Callithrix jacchus: one gene and its partners. The protein of the gene in region 1 purifies or fractionates together with the protein of each later gene. This does not show direct contact. Links are inferred from orthologs where the notes say so. Each region holds a gene or a part of one and is shown in the gene's direction. Other genes may lie near its edges.

Region 1 (6,149 bases):
AAGAAAGCCCATCACACTAACAGAGGGTATCTGCAGAAACCCTACAAGCCAGAAGAGAGTCGGGGTTGTCAACATTCTTAAAGAAAATAATTTTTGGCCAGTTGTGGTGGCTCACATCTGTAATCCCAGCACTTTGGGAGGCTGAGGAGGTGGATCACCTGATGTCAGGAGTTCGAGATCAGCCTGGCCAACGTGGAGAAACCTGGTCTCTACTAAAAATACAAAATTAGCCAGGCGTGGTGGCACGTGCCTGTAATCCCAGCTCTTTGAAAAGGTTCTTATGAGGTGATATTAACTAATCCTTGTGCTTTTGAGCTACAGGGCTTTACACATATCTCATCCAAAGAAGGCACCAACTCCTGTCAGTATCTGACACTAAACTGCAAAGGTGACAAAGTAAACTGCTTTCATGAGGCCCAGGGACAGTCTTGTGTTCAAAAACATTACAATTCATTTAACAATTTTGCCTCTATCTGAATTAGTATAATTTATTCAGTGCCTTGATACTAAATCATTTAAATGTTTAGCTACCTATGAACTTCCTTTCCTGTCATTCTCAAAAGTAGGCAGGGTTTATGACCTTTGTGTTCGAAATGTTACTTCTTTCTGTTTTGTTTTACCTACAGACTTTGAAACTATTCAATCCCTCCAGGCCAAAAGACTAAAACATAATATTGTAAGGGCCAATACTGAAGGCTCAAATTAGTTCAGCCCCTACAAAACAAGGATGGCACACAGATACCAACACAGCTCAACAAAATGCTTGCGGTTTGTACGGGTAATTGTGACAAGCCAAGATTACAGCAGCTCAATGCACGGAATTTATAGATAAGACAATTTTGTGACCTTGCCTTTTGGCTTTTGGTTTTTGGCTCTTAACAATCCTTAAGTGGGGGTTTAAGGTTAAAGAGTGCCTGCCCACCTTCCTCCACATCTGGCCTAGAACATTTAATTGACTATAAGTCTGTTAATCATAGGAGGGACATGATGGACTCAGGGCAGGTAGCACATCACCCTGGCATTGATATGGGACGAAATAAAAGTTTGGAAATTGATACTGTCTCTGGGATACCTTGACAAAAAAAAAAAAAAAAAAAAAAAAAAACGGAATGCTGTTTTGAAGGCATGAGCCTAACCACGCCCCATCTGCGAGCATGTGATCAGTAAAACTGCTTTCGTTTCACCGCACCTCGCTTCTCATGTTTTTGGCCTCTAAACAGCAAGCAGCCAGATGTGAGCCAGTTGCAATAGCAGCATTATTTACAATAGCAAAAGATGGAAGCAACCCACTGGATGAATGGATAAACAAAATGCAGAATATACAATACAATGGAGTATTATTCAGCCTTAAAAAGGAAGGAAAATATAATATGTGCTACTATATGGATAAAACTTGTGGACATAATGCTAAGTGAAATAAGGCAGTTACATAAATACAAATGCTGTATGATTTCACTCATGTCAGGTATTCAGGAAAGTAGCATGGTGGCTGCCAGGGGATGGGGAGAAGAAAGAATGAGGAGCTACTGTTTAATAATGCAGAACTTCAGTTTTGCAAGATGAAAGAGTTCTAGAGATGGATGCTGATGGTGGCTGTATAACAGTGTGAATGTACTGCTATTAATACTACTGAACTGTATGCTTAAAAATGGCTCAGATAGCCGGGCGCGGTGGCTCACACCTGTAATCCCAGCACTTTGGGAGGCCGAGGCGGGTGGATCACGACGTCAAGAGATCGAGACCATCCTGGTCAACATGGTGAAACCCCATCTCTACTAAAAATACAAAAAATTAGCTGGGCATGGTGGCGCGTGCCTGTAATCCCAGCTACTCAGGAGGCCGAGGCAGGAGAATTGCCTGAACCCAGGAGGCGGAGGTTGCGGTGAGCCGAGATCGCGCCATTGCACTCCAGCCTGGGTAACAAGAGTGAAACTCCATCTCAAAAAAAAAAAAGGCTGAGATATTAAATTTTATGTGTATTTTACCACGATTTTTAAAAAATTAAATGAAAATAGGTCAGGTGCGGTGATTCACGCCTATATTCCCAGCACTTTCGGAGGCCGAGGCAGACAGATCACTTGAGGCCAGGAGTTCCATACCAGCCTGGCCAACATGGTGAAACCCTGTCTCTACTAAAAATAACAAAAATTAGCCGCATGTGATGGCACATGCCTGTAGTCCCAGGTTCTTGGGAGGCTAATGCAGGGGGATCGCTTGAACCCGGGAAGCAAGGGTTTCAGTGAGCCGAGATCACGCCACTGCACTCCAGCCTGGGCAACAACAGCAAAATTCCGTCTCAAAAAACAAAAATTTTAAATTAAAAATTAAATGAAAATAAAAACTATGAGTAACAACCCACATCGATGAAAACCAGTAGGGAAAGGAGAACTTCCTACTGCCCAGTTAATCATGGCCTGACCAGCAGGCTGTGGGAATTGGAAACCAAGGGCGTGGCAAGGGCAGGTCTGGGGCTCCGCGCTGGGCAGGACTGCAAAGAAGCCACAGGTTCCAGCGGGTAAACCCGCAAACGGGACTGCTATTGCGCAGGCGCAAGACACCTTTTAAACGTGCCCGGAAGTGACGCTTGTAATGCTGAGACAGACTCCCAGATCTCAGCAAGTCGCGTAGCTGAGCCCGGCAGGTCCAGTGGGGTCGTGCCGCTGCTATGAGCTGCACCATCGAGAAGATCCTGACAGATGCCAAGACGCTGCTGGAGAGGCTGCGGGAGCACGATGCGGCCGCTGAGTCACTGGTGGATCAGTCGGCGGCGTTGCACCGGCGGGTAGCCTCTATGCGGGAGGCGGGGACGGCGCTTCCGGATCAGGTCAGGCAGAGGGTAGGAGTCCAGTGCTCTCGGATTCTGGGCACTGAAGGGTGGAGAGCGAGGTAAAGTGGGAACTCGGCCTGGAATTGATTCCGCGTCTCAGAGGGCGGCGGTGAGACATTTTTCCTGGGTCGGGGCTGAGAAACCTGCCCCGGAGCGCTGATTTCTGCCTCTTCAGTTGCATCTGCCGCTGTTCTCTACTTAGTCTGTCTCTGTTTGTCCAGTATCAAGAGGATGCATCCGATATGAAGGACATGTCCAAATACAAACCTCACATTCTGCTGTCCCAAGAGAACACACAGATTAGAGACTTGCAGCAGGAAAACAGAGGTTAGTCGGGCCTTTTCATATCTGGTAATAGTTTGAAAGGTATTGCAGAATTGCCCTAACCGTTCACAAAAATGTACATATATTTCCAGGTCAGTACTTTTAGTAGGCGAGTCTTCCTGTGCTGGCCCGGTAACAGCAAAGGTTTTTAGATTACCCTTTTCAAGATCATCTGACTGATTTTGTAGCAGCTTACCAAAGAGCTGCTAAGTAGAGTTGAATTCTTGCAAACTTTAATGTTTAATAAGTATTAATGAAAATAAACACTAAAGGTAAGGTTTAAGGTTTTGTTTATGTTCTTGTTCATGCAAGGGAAGCAGCAGAATGTTATTTTAAGGGTATATATTCTTCGGCTTGATTAGTATATTATTAATAATTGTAGTATTACTAGTTGTTTACCAGCGGGGTTTCACAGGTATCATTCTACTGTATTCTCCTATCTTCATTTTTAGCTATTTATTACAATGCAGTTAAGAAATACACTCAGAGACGCTAAATGATTTACTTACAAGTATTAACGAAGCAAGTTACAGAACTGAACTCAAACCCGTGTCTTCTGATGACATATCCTTTGTTGTTTCTGCTTCTCTGCCTAGAAAGTTATCTTTCACATAGACTTTAACTGTTCAGTTTTGTGGACTTAAACCCTGATTTACAGCTTTGGATTCATATTATCTCTATAGTGTTACAAAATTCCAACTGTTAAGACTTTGGATATGGGAGCGCTCTCTCAGACATCACTGCCAAGTTATTTTATTTTTGATAGAGCTCTGGGTTTCCTTGGAGGAACACCAGGATGCTTTGGAACTCATCATGAGCAAGTACCGGAAACAGATGTTACAGTTAATGGTTGCTAAAAAAGCTGTGGATGCCGAACCAGTCCTGAAAGCTCACCAGTCTCACTCTGCAGTAAGAAACTTTGAATAAATTCGAAATGAACTGAATTGAAATCTTGAGATTGTTCATTGTGTGCTTGTTTTTGTTTTGTTTTTTGAGATAGGGCCTGGCTCTGTCGACCAGGCTGAGGTACAGTGGCACGATCTCAGCTCACTGCAACCTCTGCCTCCTGGGCTCAAGCCATCCTCTCATCTCTGCCTCCTGAGTAGCTGGGACTACAGGTGTACACCACCATGCCCTGTTAATTTTTGTGTATGTGGTTTTTTGGTTTTTGGTAGAGATGAGGTTTCACTGTGTTGCCCAGGCTGGTTTGAAACTCCTGTGCTCAAGCAATCCATCTACGTTGGCCTTCCAAAGTGCTGGGGTTACAGGCATGAACCACTGTGCCTGGCCATGTGTGCTTGTTTTTGAAGAAAAGTAAGCTTGTTTTCCTTTCATGTTTATCACGTTTGTTGTTGATTTTGCCATGGCTTTGTAAAGATATGAATAGAAAGGAGGAGGATGGGGCTGCTCAGGTCCTTTTATTTGAGTAGGAGTAAGGTACCCCCTCCCTTACCAAGATCTCTTTTGAAGATGTTCATTAATTCTTAGCTCTCCCACCAAACATAATGCCAGTTAGTGTTGAAGATGCCCAGTAAACACTTGGTTGCTTATTCTTTATACATCTCACTTAAGCTCCTTTGTTGTAAGGAGCATGAATTCATATTTTATTCCTACCATAGTACCTGACATACAGCAGGCGGTCAGTAAACATTTTTTAAACTGAACTACATAGCATTATACCATGTTGTTAGGGAAGAGAAGTATGCTTTTTTTTAAAAAAAAAAACAAAAAAACAAGCATGGCATAGTTTCTATACTTTGCTTATGATCTAATTTGAGAGACTCAGTAATTATTCTTATGCTTGTAGGTGCTTCGTAGATGTCATTGTACATTCATGTGTACTGTATGATTTAAATCTAGATGTGTAGATTGGAGCCTACTATATGCTACTGTGAGATGCAGTGAAAGATAAGCTTCGTCTTAAACTCCATTGAATGCATTTTACTGACTTAAAAGTTTTAGGAAACAGATATTTTATAAATATTTGAATGGCTTTCATCTGGAATAGAAAAGTAGATTTTATTTTTTCTCTTATGGAGGAAAAAACTTGAACCTTGAAAGAGACAGAGTTTACTCAGATAGATAAACTTTCTAAGTGATATGTCCAAAGATGAAATGTAATAAGCTTCCTGCCAATTAACGTATTCAAATTTAAGTTAGCCACTTAGAGATAGTATCCAACATCCAATGGGTAGTTAAACTACAATTGATTTTTCAAAAAAAAAAAAATTATCTGTGAATACCACAAGGTCACTTGACTATGGCTTTATATCTGAGGACTAAAATTGTAGTGAAACTCCACTGTAACTTCTGTAACATAGATTAAATGAACTTTTAAAAATCATAACACACACACTCTTACGTTCTTTATTTCTATAGAACAAATGATTTTTTCACCTTTGTTTCCTTAATATCTCCACAGGAAATTGAGAGTCAGATTGACAGAATCTGTGAAATGGGAGAAGTGATGAGGAAAGCAGTTCAGGTGGATGATGACCAGTTTTGTAAGATTCAGGAAAAATTAGCCCAATTAGAGGTAAGATTGTTGTCATTTTGGGTTCACAGTATTTCAGAGTTTCCAGAGTCTGGAAGATACACCCTCACTGTCCTATCACTGTAATATATTGATGTTTTCTGTGTGTTTATGATTTAAAATTAAAACTCCTCCTTCATACCCTATGAAGAAAGAAAATATAGTAAACAGCAATCAAAGGAAATACCAACTATGTATTGGCAAGAAGTTGAGATATCATGCGAAGGTAGTGGGAGTGGAGGGGAGAAGTTATATGTGAGATAAAATCCTCATCTGCCATAATAAGAAGGGAAATAGGTAATACCTAACTAAAATCTTTGATCAGGAAATAGCAGTATAAATGTATTATTTAGAATTATGAATTAAATACCAAAAGAAATAGATAAAATAGTGGTTGCATTTGGGGTGCAAAGCCAAAGAACCGCTTGTATAAGCCATGTAGTCTTGATTTCTTAAAAGCTATGC
Region 2 (5,630 bases), about 4.9 Mb from region 1:
CAGTGGGTAGAGAGCCTGCCTCCCCCAACAAGACAGGAATAGAGGTGTCTCCCACAGGTGAGGTCACTGTGGAGTGCCCGGCTTTGAAAGAACTGTAAGTGTACAGAAGGGCCAAGAGGAGGGCCCTTGCAGAGCAGAGAGATTTGGATTTAGGGATTAGTTAGGGAGTGTGCTCTTCAGGGGCTGCTGATCCAGAGCTCACTGTAGAGTGCTTCTTTCCCCGAACACTGGACTCAGCAGTAGGAGCTCTGGGGCAGCCTGAGGCCACAGCTCCCAGGATCCTGGTTCATGTTTCCTGCAGGAAAAGTCTAGGGAGCTTCCCTCTTGCCCTAGTCCCCTGCCAACTTCTGGGATGGAGTCCCCAGGCTGCTCTGAGAGCAGGGGGTTCCTGGAAGAGGCCTGGAGGCCCAGCTGTCCTGAGATCGCATGTGAGGGCCTGCTGCAGCCGTGGGGGCTGATTGTCCCTGATTGTCCCCGATTGTCCCTGCAGGAAGCAGGCGACAGTAACCAGTTTTGCTGGAGGAACCTCTTTTCCTGTATCAATCTGCTTCGGATCTTGAACAAACTGACAAAGTGGAAGCATTCAAGGACAATGGTAAGTGAGTCAGTGCAGTCAGCAGGCTTGGAACTTGGAGCTCGAAGAAGAGTGTCGCATTTCATGCTGGGAGCAGGGAGTCCCCAGGGCAGAGCTCACTGGGCCTTTTCCCTTAACTTTGCTGTAGCCATATCCTTGCATTTTAAGGGCTAATTCCCAGTTCTTGATGAGATGAACTGGAAGCTGGAAGAGGCTAAGCCATACACTGAAACAAATCTACACTTACAGAAGAGCTTTTTCCGTGTCGCCTTAATCTTGATGGGTAACATAACCAGGATTGTGAGAATCCTCCTTGACTCTGGGTCTGGATGCCTTTGGGGTGAGGAGGTCCTTGAATCCTCTGATACTTGTGTCTGTGTACACAGGAATATTTCTGGGAAGAATCCATAGCTTCAGATTCCAAAGTGACCCATAGTTAGGGTGACTGACCATCCTGGTTAGCCTGGAACTCTACTGGTTTTAGCATTTAAAGTCCTATGTATCAGGAAACCCTTCAGTCCAAGGGGAACTGGGATGGTTTGTCACCCTGCCCATAACTTCCAGAGGGTTAAGCGGCAGTGTGACCCGACCGTCTGCATTTAGTTCTGTCCTCACCTTGGGCTGCTTTCTGATCTCCCTTCCTAGATGCTGGTGGTGTTCAAGTCAGCCCCCATCCTGAAGCGGGCCCTCAAGGTGAAACAAGCCATGATGCAGCTCTATGTGCTGAAGTTGCTCAAGGTGCAGACCAAATACTTGGGGCGGCAGTGGCGAAAGAGCAACATGAAGACCATGTCTGCCATCTACCAGAAGGTGCGGCATCGGCTGAACGACGACTGGGCATACGGCAATGGTGAGGCTCTGCACTCAGCCAGGTTGGGATTGGGGTGTTTGGGAAAGGTGACATCTTTCAGTCCCTGCCCGTGGTACTCAGGCACTTCTCTGCCCTGAGCTTCCCACCGAGGAGCAGGAAGGAGCCCAGCTCCTGCTTTTGCTGCCTCAGGACAGGCACTCTAGGAAGGACGTTGGGAAGCTACCCAGGCTTGGCATCTCTGATCATGCCCCATCTCTCCCTGTCCCTCCCAGTCATTCATTTTCTAGAAATTGTTTAAAGACTTTGTCCCCTCTTTTCACCCCCATTTTGGCTACCTAAACTCTTATAGTATAGTTCCAGACTGACTTCCCTTCCTCCAGTTCCTTCCCCTCCATCAGTGTCTCAGATTTCCCTAGTGATTCTTTTTTACTTTAATTTTTTATTTTAAAGATAGGGTCTCGCTCTCTTGCCCAGCCTGGAGTGTGATCTCGGCTCACCACAACCTCTGCCTCCTGGGCTAAAGTGATCCTTCTGCCTTAGCATCCCAAGTAGCTGGGACTACAGGCACTTGCCACTATGCCCAGCTAATTGTATCTTTTTTGTAGAGATAGGGTTTCACTATGTTGCCCAGGGTGGACTTTTTTTTTTTTTTAGATAGAGATTCTGTCGCCCAGGCTCTCAGCTCACTGCATCCTCCATCGCCCAAGTTTAAGCGATTCTCCCACCTCAACCTTTCAAGTAGCTGGGACTACAATTGGATGCCACCTCATCCAGCTAATTTTTGGATTTGTTGTAGAGACAGGGTTTCACCATGTTGGCCGGGCTGGTCTCAAGTTCCTGGTCTCAAGTGATCCACCCGCCTTGGCCTCCCAAAGTGCTGGGATTATAGGCATGAGCCACTGCGCCTTCTCAGGGTGGTCTTGAACTCCTGGGTTCAAGGGATCCATCAGCCTTGGCCTCCCAAAGGGTTGGGATTATAGGCATGAGCCACTGCACCTGGCCCCCTAGTGAATCTTTTCAACATGCAGATCCTGTGCTGTTACTGCCCTGAGTAAAATCCTTCATTAGCTTCCTATTTCCCTTAGAATTAGACTCAAACTCTTAGGCAGGGCATGTGAGGCTCACTCGTCCTTTTTCATTCTCCTCCTCTGCAATCTGACCCAGCTTCCTTTTCAACCTTGTTCCCTGCTGTCAGCCCAGCCTCCATCATACCCAGGGCAACAGGCACAAGGAGTGCTTGGTCCTGGCACATGAGCCATGTGGCTCCCACTGCCAGGCTCTGCAGGCACTCTTCCTTCTGTCCGCAGTACCTCCCCTGCCCACCTGGGCTGCTCTGTGTGTGTGTTGCTGCGTTGTTGTGTACCTGGAATATAGCACCATGGCTAAATGACTGTGTCTGTACTCCCAATGCCCTATGAATGTGTGCAGGCCCATGGTGGCACGCAGTACCTGGTCAGGGAGTTGGGAGAGAACGAGCAAATGAGAGTATTGCCAGGCTTCCTGCCTTTGACCCCAGAGAGCCAGGGAGAATGCCACTTAGACAGAAACGTATTGAATACATGGCTCTCCCTCTCTGGGTCTACATAATCCGTACAGTATAAGCCTCTTTCTCAGTACCTCTGTCTTTTCTGCTTATCCTTGACTCTCCTTTGGATCTAGGAGGGAATTCCTGTCATCTTTCTGAGGATGAACTCGGAGGTGTCCTGCTCCTAGTTGACACTCAACATTCCTAGCCAGGCCCCTGAGCTGCAGTGAATCCATGGGGAGCTGCCACAGGGCTTGGCTCCTAACTGTGTTCTTCCTGCTTTGTCTCAGATCTTGATGCCCGGCCTTGGGACTTCCAGGCAGAGGAGTGTGCCCTCCGTGCCAACATTGAACGCTTCAATGCCCGGCGCTATGACCGGGCCCACAGCAACCCTGACTTCCTGCCAGTGGACAACTGCCTGCAGAGTGTCCTGGGCCAACGGGTGGACCTCCCTGAGGACTTTCAGATGAACTATGACTTGTGGTTAGAAAGGGAGGTCTTCTCCAAGCCCATTTCCTGGGAAGAGCTGCTGCAGTGAGGCTGTTGGTTAGGAGACTGAAACTGAAAGAAAGGATGATCTCAAGGTACTTGCAGTACTGTCCTAGTTCATTGCTGCAGAGCTCCCACTCCCCTCCAGGTGGCAGCACAGCCCCACTGTGTCCTCCACAGTCTCTTCTGGGCTTTGGTGAGCCCAGCTTGACCTCCCCGTTAGTTCCCAGGGTCCTGCTCAGAAGCAGTCATCTCTGCCTGGGATCCATTCTTTCTTTACTTCCTCCACCCTCCTCTCTTGGACATGGTTGACTTTGGCTCATTTCACAATCAGCCCAAGGCTGGGAAAGCTGGAATGGGATGGGAACCCCTCTGCAGTGCATCTGAATTTCAGGGGTCAAGCTGACGCCTCCCGAGACAGACAAATCCTTGCTTTGTCAGCTTGCAAAGGAGGAGGGTTTAGGATTAGGGCCAGGGCCAGAAAGTCAGTATCTTGGTTGTGCTCTGGAGTGGGGGTGGGGGGTTTCTGATGTCATTCCAGCCTCCTGCTACATTATATCCAGAAGTAATCGCAGAGGTTCCTGCAGCTGCCTCAGCACTTTGATTTTGGACAGGGATGAGATAGGAAGAGAAGCTTCCCTTAACCAGAGGGGCCATTTTTCCTTTTTGCTTTTGATGGCTTGTAAATATCTATATATAATTCCGTGTATATTCTCCTGTGTCATGTTGGGGTTTTTAATGTGTTTGTGTATTCTGTTTACATTAAAAAGAAGCAAAATAATTCCCCTTGGCTTGTCTGCAGGAAATATGGCCTCTTTTTATCTCCTCCAGGTCTAGAAAGTGTCTTTTTTCCTTCAGTATTGCTGGTCACCGCTTGTCTTTGCCAAGCTCCCCGCCACTCCCATCCTGGGGGAAGAGGAAGGGGGGGTTGGCATTTATCCAGTGTAAGTTAACTCCACAGTAATCTGGGATTGCTCTCGCCCAACTCCAGAGCACTAGGTTACTCTATTGATGAATTGTCCTGCACCCCTGGGTTTGCTGGAATTTCAGTAGGAGCCCCGGGTTTCTCTGGATCCCATCCCTGAGCTAGCCTCAGCCAAACCAGTGTCAGTGCTAGGGAGGGAGGGACTAGGTGAAAGCAAGAGGATCAGCTGCTCTAGGCCCTCCCTGGGGTAGGTGGTTGGGACTGATCGGAAACTTAAGTGTTGGAGCCTAGGAAGCAGACCATCAGGAGTCAGGGCATGGTAGGAAACAGAGTTGGAGGGCCGAGGACCCCACTGTGGGCGAGAGAAAAGCAAGGAGAATCTCTAGTAGGTGTCAGTGGACAGACACCTGGAGCCTACACTCTGGTCTCTAGACTCCTGGTTGTGTCTGCCTCAGAAGATTTTACTGTTTTGATGCTCGTGAAAGGACTGTTTCCTTTTTAGAATTCCTGGAAGCTCTTATTTTACCTGTAGGCAGTTGTTTTATGGGTTCTTGAATCTCCAAGGGGTCTTGACTTGTAAAGGAAACAGTGTTCTGGGGAGAATCTCCCTTTCATTGGGTCTTGTGTTCAGTGCCTGCCTGGCCTGGGACCTGCTGAGCCTCAGGACAGGCATTTTGATGTGCCGGCATGGTTAGGGACAGCAGGGGTGAAAGGAAGCAGCGGACTCCTGGTGCTCACAGTCTGTGAGATGGGAAGTCCCTGTGACTGATGGGCCCTTTATCCCAAAGTAACCTGCACAGGACAAGGGAACTGACACAATTTATGTGCATGATGGATTTCTGGCGATTTCTTGCAAGGACTGATAGGAAATATGTATCCTTGAGATGTCAGTTTGGGAGAGATGGATTTTCACATTCTTACTGTCCCCGTGAAGCCTGAGTCACTGAGCCTGCATCTTCAGAGGCCTGTCTCTCCTCTGACCTGCGAAAGAGTATGCAGGACTATCAAAGCCGCAAGGGCCGTAAAGCCTGCGCAGATGAATCCCTTCAGCTAGAGGCCCAGGAGCCAGCCTGGGGAGAGGAAGGGGCTTCTCACAGCCACAGAGTGTGTTGGTGGCAGGTGGCCATTTGAACTCAGGTCTTTGTACAGAAATGTCTTTTGGAGCCACCCCTTTTTTGTGGCTTTTAAAATCTCATCTGGGTCATGAAATGGGCAGAGTACATGAGGACCCTTTGTAAATGATTGAGTTACATAAAAGGTTTTTTATTGCTAAGTAGGCTCAGGGTCCACTGCTCTTTCAATCCAC
Region 3 (5,467 bases), on another chromosome or scaffold:
CCAGGGCTCCACCAGGCCCTCCGGGGCTCAGCAGTGGGGAGTCGCTGCTGGTGAAACAGATCGAGGAGCAGATAAAGAGGTGAGCCCTTGGGCCTGGCAAATATGTCTTTCTTCCTCTTGACTGCTGCTGAGGGCCAGGGACAGAACGTCAGCTGATGTCCCTGGGTGCCCTGGTGGCCCCTCCTCCTGGAGTATGCTGTGGGCTCCCTTGTTTCAAAATCCTCAGTCTCTTCACTGCTGGGATCCCCTGGATTCTGTTCTGAGTTCCTTCCACACACTTTCCCATGGCCTCATCTCCAGCCCTGCTCCCATCCTGATACTCAGACCTGCATGCTCCTCGGTCATGTGGGGTGCCTCGCCAGCAGGGAGTGGAGCATGTGAGGTGGCCACCCTCGGGAAGCTCTGGCTTGTTCATTGTTTCATCAGTGGTTGTCAGTTAAGCCAAACAAGCGAGGCCATATAGGTGATGCTAAGTGCAGTGAAGCCCACGAGGGCCAATACGTGCTCAGTGAAATAGTGCTCCTCTGGGGGGGGGTGGGCAGGGAGGGCCTCTGTGGAGGTGATGCTTGTGCAGAGATAAGCTGCATGAGTAGAATGTTCTAGGCAGAGGGCACAGTGAACCCCGGGGTCCTGAGGCAGGAGAGGTGTAGCCCATGCAGAAGCAGCACGAGACTGGCGTGACTGCAGGCGGTGAGGCGTGGGCCACAGGAGGTCACCACGGAGTCTGTTACTCGGGCCTTGGGCTGGGTTAGTCTAGATTCGAGTCGGGTATGGGAAGCCAGTGGTTTTGAGCAGGGGAGTGACATAATCCCACATTCTTGATTCGCTCTGAGAAGGAGAGGCTGTAGGAGGGTCCCCTACGAGGCAGGGGGACCGGTTGGGAGAGGATCTCGATGTCCAAGCCAGAGCTGATGGGCCTTAGCAGTGGCGAGGCAAGAGGTGTTCACTTCCCCAGGGGCTTTCGGGCAGTTGACGCTAAAGGACTGCAGCTAAGGGGAGAGGAAAGAAATGGGGGACTCCAGGGTTTGTTGTGAGCCATTGGAGCAGCATCCCCCTGAGACGGGGAAGCTTGGAGTGGAAGTTCTGGGGGCTGCCAAGGTCATGTGAAGCATGAGGGGCCTGTTTACCCCCATGTGGAGATGCGGAGCTCGGGCCCCTAAACATAGCTCTAGTTGAACAAGCACATGGGCATTCTTTGGAAAACCACGGGCCACCTGCAGTGCCTGGAATGAGTGTAGATGGTTAGAGAAGAGATCTGGGGACTGAGCCCGGGTGCTCTCTCACTTAGAGGCTGGAGGGAGAAAGAGGAAGCTGAGAAGGAGGCTGAGCCCATGCAGCTGGTGTCGGTGTCTGGGAGGAAGTACCATGAGAACAGTGTCCCATGTCCCGTGTCCCGCTGGGAGTGCAGGGAGTATTCTGGGCAGGTGTTTAAGAGCATGGAGCGGAGTTCTGCAGATGGCAGCCCTGAAGCAAGTGGGTAAATCTGCAGTGATCTCTACACCGAGTGGTAACTGCACCCTTGGGCAGCTGACAAGACCTCCAGGGCATCAACCTGATGGCAGGATAGGGGATGTTTGCGTCGATCTGTACTTCGAATTCCACCTGCCTTCTCCGCAGTCAGGCTGGGTCAGTACCTCCTCTGCTAAAACCTGTCATGAAGTTGGAAGCCAGGAGGTGGAGGGAGGAGTGCCATCTGTTGCTGAGGATAGTGCAGGCTCCTGAGTAGCAGGGATCGCCGGCGCCCCCGCTCATGCGAGGCTGGCTGGCTCTTGGCGCCTTGCTGAGCATTTGTAGAATGGCCGCTAGTCTTTCCTGCGGGACGATCTGCCTCCTGCGGGACGATCTGCCTCCTGCGTGACCTGCTCTTGTGGTCTGACCAGGCTGTCGGAATGGGGACTCTGAGTCAGTGGCACTTTCTCATCCAGCTTTCCTCCTGACTCGGCATAGGATGGAGATTTGTGGCCAGGGTTGGGGGCTGGCCCTCTGGAACTCGGGTCGGAGGTCAGTGAGGACTGTCTGTGGTCTAAGTGAGGCTTCCAGTTGGAATGAGCATTTGTTGGGCAGAGGCTGGGGTTGGGGCTTTGTGTCTGACCAGAGTCAAGGCTTCTCAAGGTTTAGGGGGTTAGTTGGGTCTGGACTCTGGCCACCAAGCCTGGGCAGGCACCTTCCCATCTGAGATTTGACACCTGGCAGGACTCATCCTCCTCTGCTCTGCTGTCTTGGGCAGGAACGCGGCAGGCAGAGATGGCAAAGAGCGCTTGGGCAGCTCGGTGCTGGGGCAGATCCCCTTCCTGCAGAACTGCGAGGACGAAGACAGCGACGAGGATGATGAGCTGGACAGCGTGCAGCACAAGAAGCAGCGTGTGAAGGTGAGCCCCTTCCTCCACGCCCCCGAAGCCTGGCCGGCTGCTACCTGGTCCAGGCCCTTCCCAGAGTTAGCTGGGGCCTTCAGGGCCTACACTGTGTCGGCAGTAGGGATGTGGAGACACACAGGCCCTAGCCTGGAGGAGCTCTGGCCAGCAGCGGCCTTGTAAATAGTAGTGTGCAGAAAGACACATTGTGGTGGAGGCTGGGGCCTGTGCCCATGAAGGAGGGACCTGCGGGAGATGGCCTCGGGGCTTTCCCTGGGCCCTGGCCTTCCCACTAGCGGGCCCCTTCGCCTGGGTCCCCTTCCTTTCCTCCTTTAGACTCAGCTCAGGTACCCCCCACCCCCCAGGAAGCCTTCTTTAACTCACCCTGGGCCCCCTTCCCTGTTCTTGGCCACTCTGGGGTCCTCCCTGTCTGGTCTGGGAGGGACTGGGTTTGTTTGGGCCTCCACTCCCTCTCCAGTGTTCCCAGTGTGGCTCAGCACAGAGTCACACCCCAAATGGAGTGGTGTGCACGGAGCTGCAGCACTGCAAGAGGCCTAGAGGAGGAGCAGGAGGGCCGAGTCCAGGGCCTCAAATGCTGGCCCCTGGTCCAGACGCTGGCTCCTTCCTGCCCCTCTGGGAATTTCCAGTCCTTTTCCACCCTCCACCTGTCCCTTCAGGAATCATCCGTGGTGTTTACAGCCCCACAGGCCTGCACCCTTGGGGCTGGCTGGTTGTGTAGGGCTCTCTGTCTCCACACGGCAGCCCTCCAGTGAGGCCCAGCTGGGAACCCAGGGGACTGCCCCTGTCTCCCAGGTGGCCCCAGCCCAGCTGCATGAGTTCGGGCCCACGCTGCTTTGTCTTGGCTTCAGTCTCCTCTCCCTTCAGATCGGGCTGAGTCTCTGTGTCTGGTAGTTGAGGATTCATTAGAAATAGCTGGTGCCCAGGAAGCCCTCAGCTGCACGGTGGCTGTCCCCCAAGTGCTCATCAGGTGTTAGTGGCGCTGGTGGCATTGGTGTGGTGGAGCTCTCATTGTTCCAGGCACTGCTGGCAGAGCACCATTGCGGCTCGTTGGTGTGCCCCTCAGAGCGCCCAGGGCAGTTCCCTCCTCTGTAGTCCTAAAGCCCCCTCCCCATTCTTTCCCCAGGTGTTGAATAAACCTTGACCATAGTTCTTCTCCATGTCCCGTCTGTCTGGTCCCCCCATGCCGGTCAGAGGCTGGCCCCTCACTGGTGCCCTAGAGGTGTCGCCAGACTTAGCCTGGGTGCCGACATGTGGATGGGGCCAGCCACACGATGGAGGAGTTGACGGTGGGCTGAGCTTGGCCTTGATGACCTGGGGCAAGTGGGTTGCCCTACTCAGGCTCGGTCTCCTGGGCTGTCATGGGGAGTGATGAGAGTGTTCACGGTAGCTGCTCACAGGGGTGGGGTTAAGTAAAGCCGTGTCTGCGAGCGTAGTCAGTGAGTGGGATTTGCTCTTGAGCCTGCACAGAGGCCGCTGCTGTGTTTATGGTTGCAATGCTGTGGTCTGTTTGTCCTCACTTCAGTTTGCACCTCCATATGCTCACACACGGACACCAGTGCATATCTGCTCTCCCTGAAGGCAGATTGTTGCATTATGTGGCTTTTCTTCATTCAAGGCTGGGTGCTAGGGGACTGGAACAGGCTGAGCTGGGTGGGGCCAGACCAACCAGCCCCAGTGGTAGCAGCCGTCCAAGACTCCGGCAGGGGGCGCTCCAGGGCAGCCAGCTGGTGGCTGAGGCAGCCCCATGAGCAGAGACAGGCCCGGAGCCCCAGATTATCTGTTCTCAGGCATGGGGGTGGCTTAGTCTCTGGACAAGAGGGCCCCTGACTTGTCTGGCTTTCTCTATGCCCCAGCTCCCATCCAAGGCCCTGGTGCCCGAAATGGAAGACGAGGACGAGGAGGACGACTCTGAGGATGCCATCAACGAGTTTGACTTCCTGGGCTCAGGAGAGGACGGGGAAGGGGCTCCAGACCCTCGGCGGTGCCCCATGGATGGGAGCCCCCACGAGCTGGGTGAGCTCAGATTTTCTGGCCAGGCTCCGCTTGCTTTCCCCACTGAGGGGCGGGAGCAGGCCCAGCTGCCCACAGCTGCTTCCTGTGCAGGGTCTCTCCACCGGACGGATACGCTTCCTGAGAGGAGGGTAGCCAAGGAGAGCAGGAGGCCCAGGCCATGGTGGCCAGCCCCTCACCTCTTCCCTGGAAAATCCCCGTGGAGATGCAGGCAGGCCTGGCTCTTCCTGAAGCAGTGCCGCCAGCCTTCTAGGGCGGGCGTCTAGCTCTGGCCGGCCTCAAGGAGGGAACAGGATGAGGACCCAGTGGGGGAGAAGCAGGTGGGAGGGCTGTGTCTTCCTCCTTGTCTTGTGACTCCCAGCTAGGAGGGCCCTCAGGTCACATGGGATGGATGGCTGGGGCCTGAGGCCCAGGCAAGGCAGTGACCTGCCTACTGCCCACGGAGGGGCCCAGTCAGCTTCCCCTCCTCTGCCCATAGCCCCACTGGGGCCAGAGCTTCACAGCCCCCCACAGTAGCAGGGGGTCCTTGGTGTGGGAAAGGCATCACCTGCAGCAGGCTGGGTTGGAACTGCTAGGCGACTCCGGCCCTGTTCCTTGATCCTGCAGAAAGCCGTCGGGTCAAACTCCAAGGCATCCTGGCTGACCTGCGGGATGTGGATGGGCTGCCGCCAAAAGTGACCGGCCCACCTCCTGGCACACCCCAGCCCCGGCCACACGAAGGTAAGAGGCACCCCCCACCTGGCCCCAGTCCTGCGGGCCCACGGCAGAGGGAGGCTGCAGAGCTGAGCCCAGGGCTTCTGTGTCCTCAGGGTCGAGGCCCAGCCTCCAGTCTGCAGCCTCCCTGCCCCAAAAGTTCGTCTGTCTGTCTGTCTCCCTCTCTTTTTGTCTGTCCTGCCCTGTCTGTCTCTCTGTCTCTTTCCAGCTGTGATTCTTCATCTTGTCCTCTCCCTGTCTCTCTCTCTTGCTCCTTATCTCTCTCTCTGCCTCTCTCTGTCATTCTCTCTCTCCCTGGCCCTCTCTGCCCCTCCCTCCCCTCCCCCTACCAGGTTCCTTTGGCTTCTCCTCAGACGTCTTCATCATGGACA

The links. Proteins that work in one complex are often made in the same cells at the same time.
Region 2: the proteins of SIKE1 (region 1) and STRIP1 purify together in Homo sapiens (affinity purification with mass spectrometry; 3 studies listed by BioGRID and IntAct, with this or other methods). This does not show direct contact. The link is inferred for Callithrix jacchus from reciprocal best matches to the Homo sapiens genes SIKE1 and STRIP1.
Region 3: the proteins of SIKE1 (region 1) and STRN4 purify together in Homo sapiens (affinity purification with mass spectrometry; 3 studies listed by BioGRID and IntAct, with this or other methods). This does not show direct contact. The link is inferred for Callithrix jacchus from reciprocal best matches to the Homo sapiens genes SIKE1 and STRN4.

The regions. Positions count from the first base shown.
Region 1 is NC_133508.1:152,759,765-152,765,913, reverse strand, and holds the start of SIKE1 (suppressor of IKBKE 1), read left to right. Parts: upstream 1-2,588; 5' UTR 2,589-2,665; coding exon 2,666-2,836; intron 2,837-3,048; coding exon 3,049-3,154; intron 3,155-3,917; coding exon 3,918-4,060; intron 4,061-5,573; coding exon 5,574-5,687; intron 5,688-6,149.
Region 2 is NC_133508.1:147,905,132-147,910,761, forward strand, and holds the end of STRIP1 (striatin-interacting protein 1), read left to right. Parts: intron 1-490; coding exon 491-595; intron 596-1,219; coding exon 1,220-1,424; intron 1,425-3,200; coding exon 3,201-3,448; 3' UTR 3,449-4,180; downstream 4,181-5,630. UniProt on the Homo sapiens protein: Plays a role in the regulation of cell morphology and cytoskeletal organization. Required in the cortical actin filament dynamics and cell shape. Part of the striatin-interacting phosphatase and kinase (STRIPAK) complexes.
Region 3 is NC_133523.1:40,707,356-40,712,822, reverse strand, and holds part of STRN4 (striatin-4), read left to right. Parts: coding exon 1-79; intron 80-2,227; coding exon 2,228-2,369; intron 2,370-4,225; coding exon 4,226-4,385; intron 4,386-4,988; coding exon 4,989-5,102; intron 5,103-5,428; coding exon 5,429-5,467. UniProt on the Homo sapiens protein: Calmodulin-binding scaffolding protein which is the center of the striatin-interacting phosphatase and kinase (STRIPAK) complexes.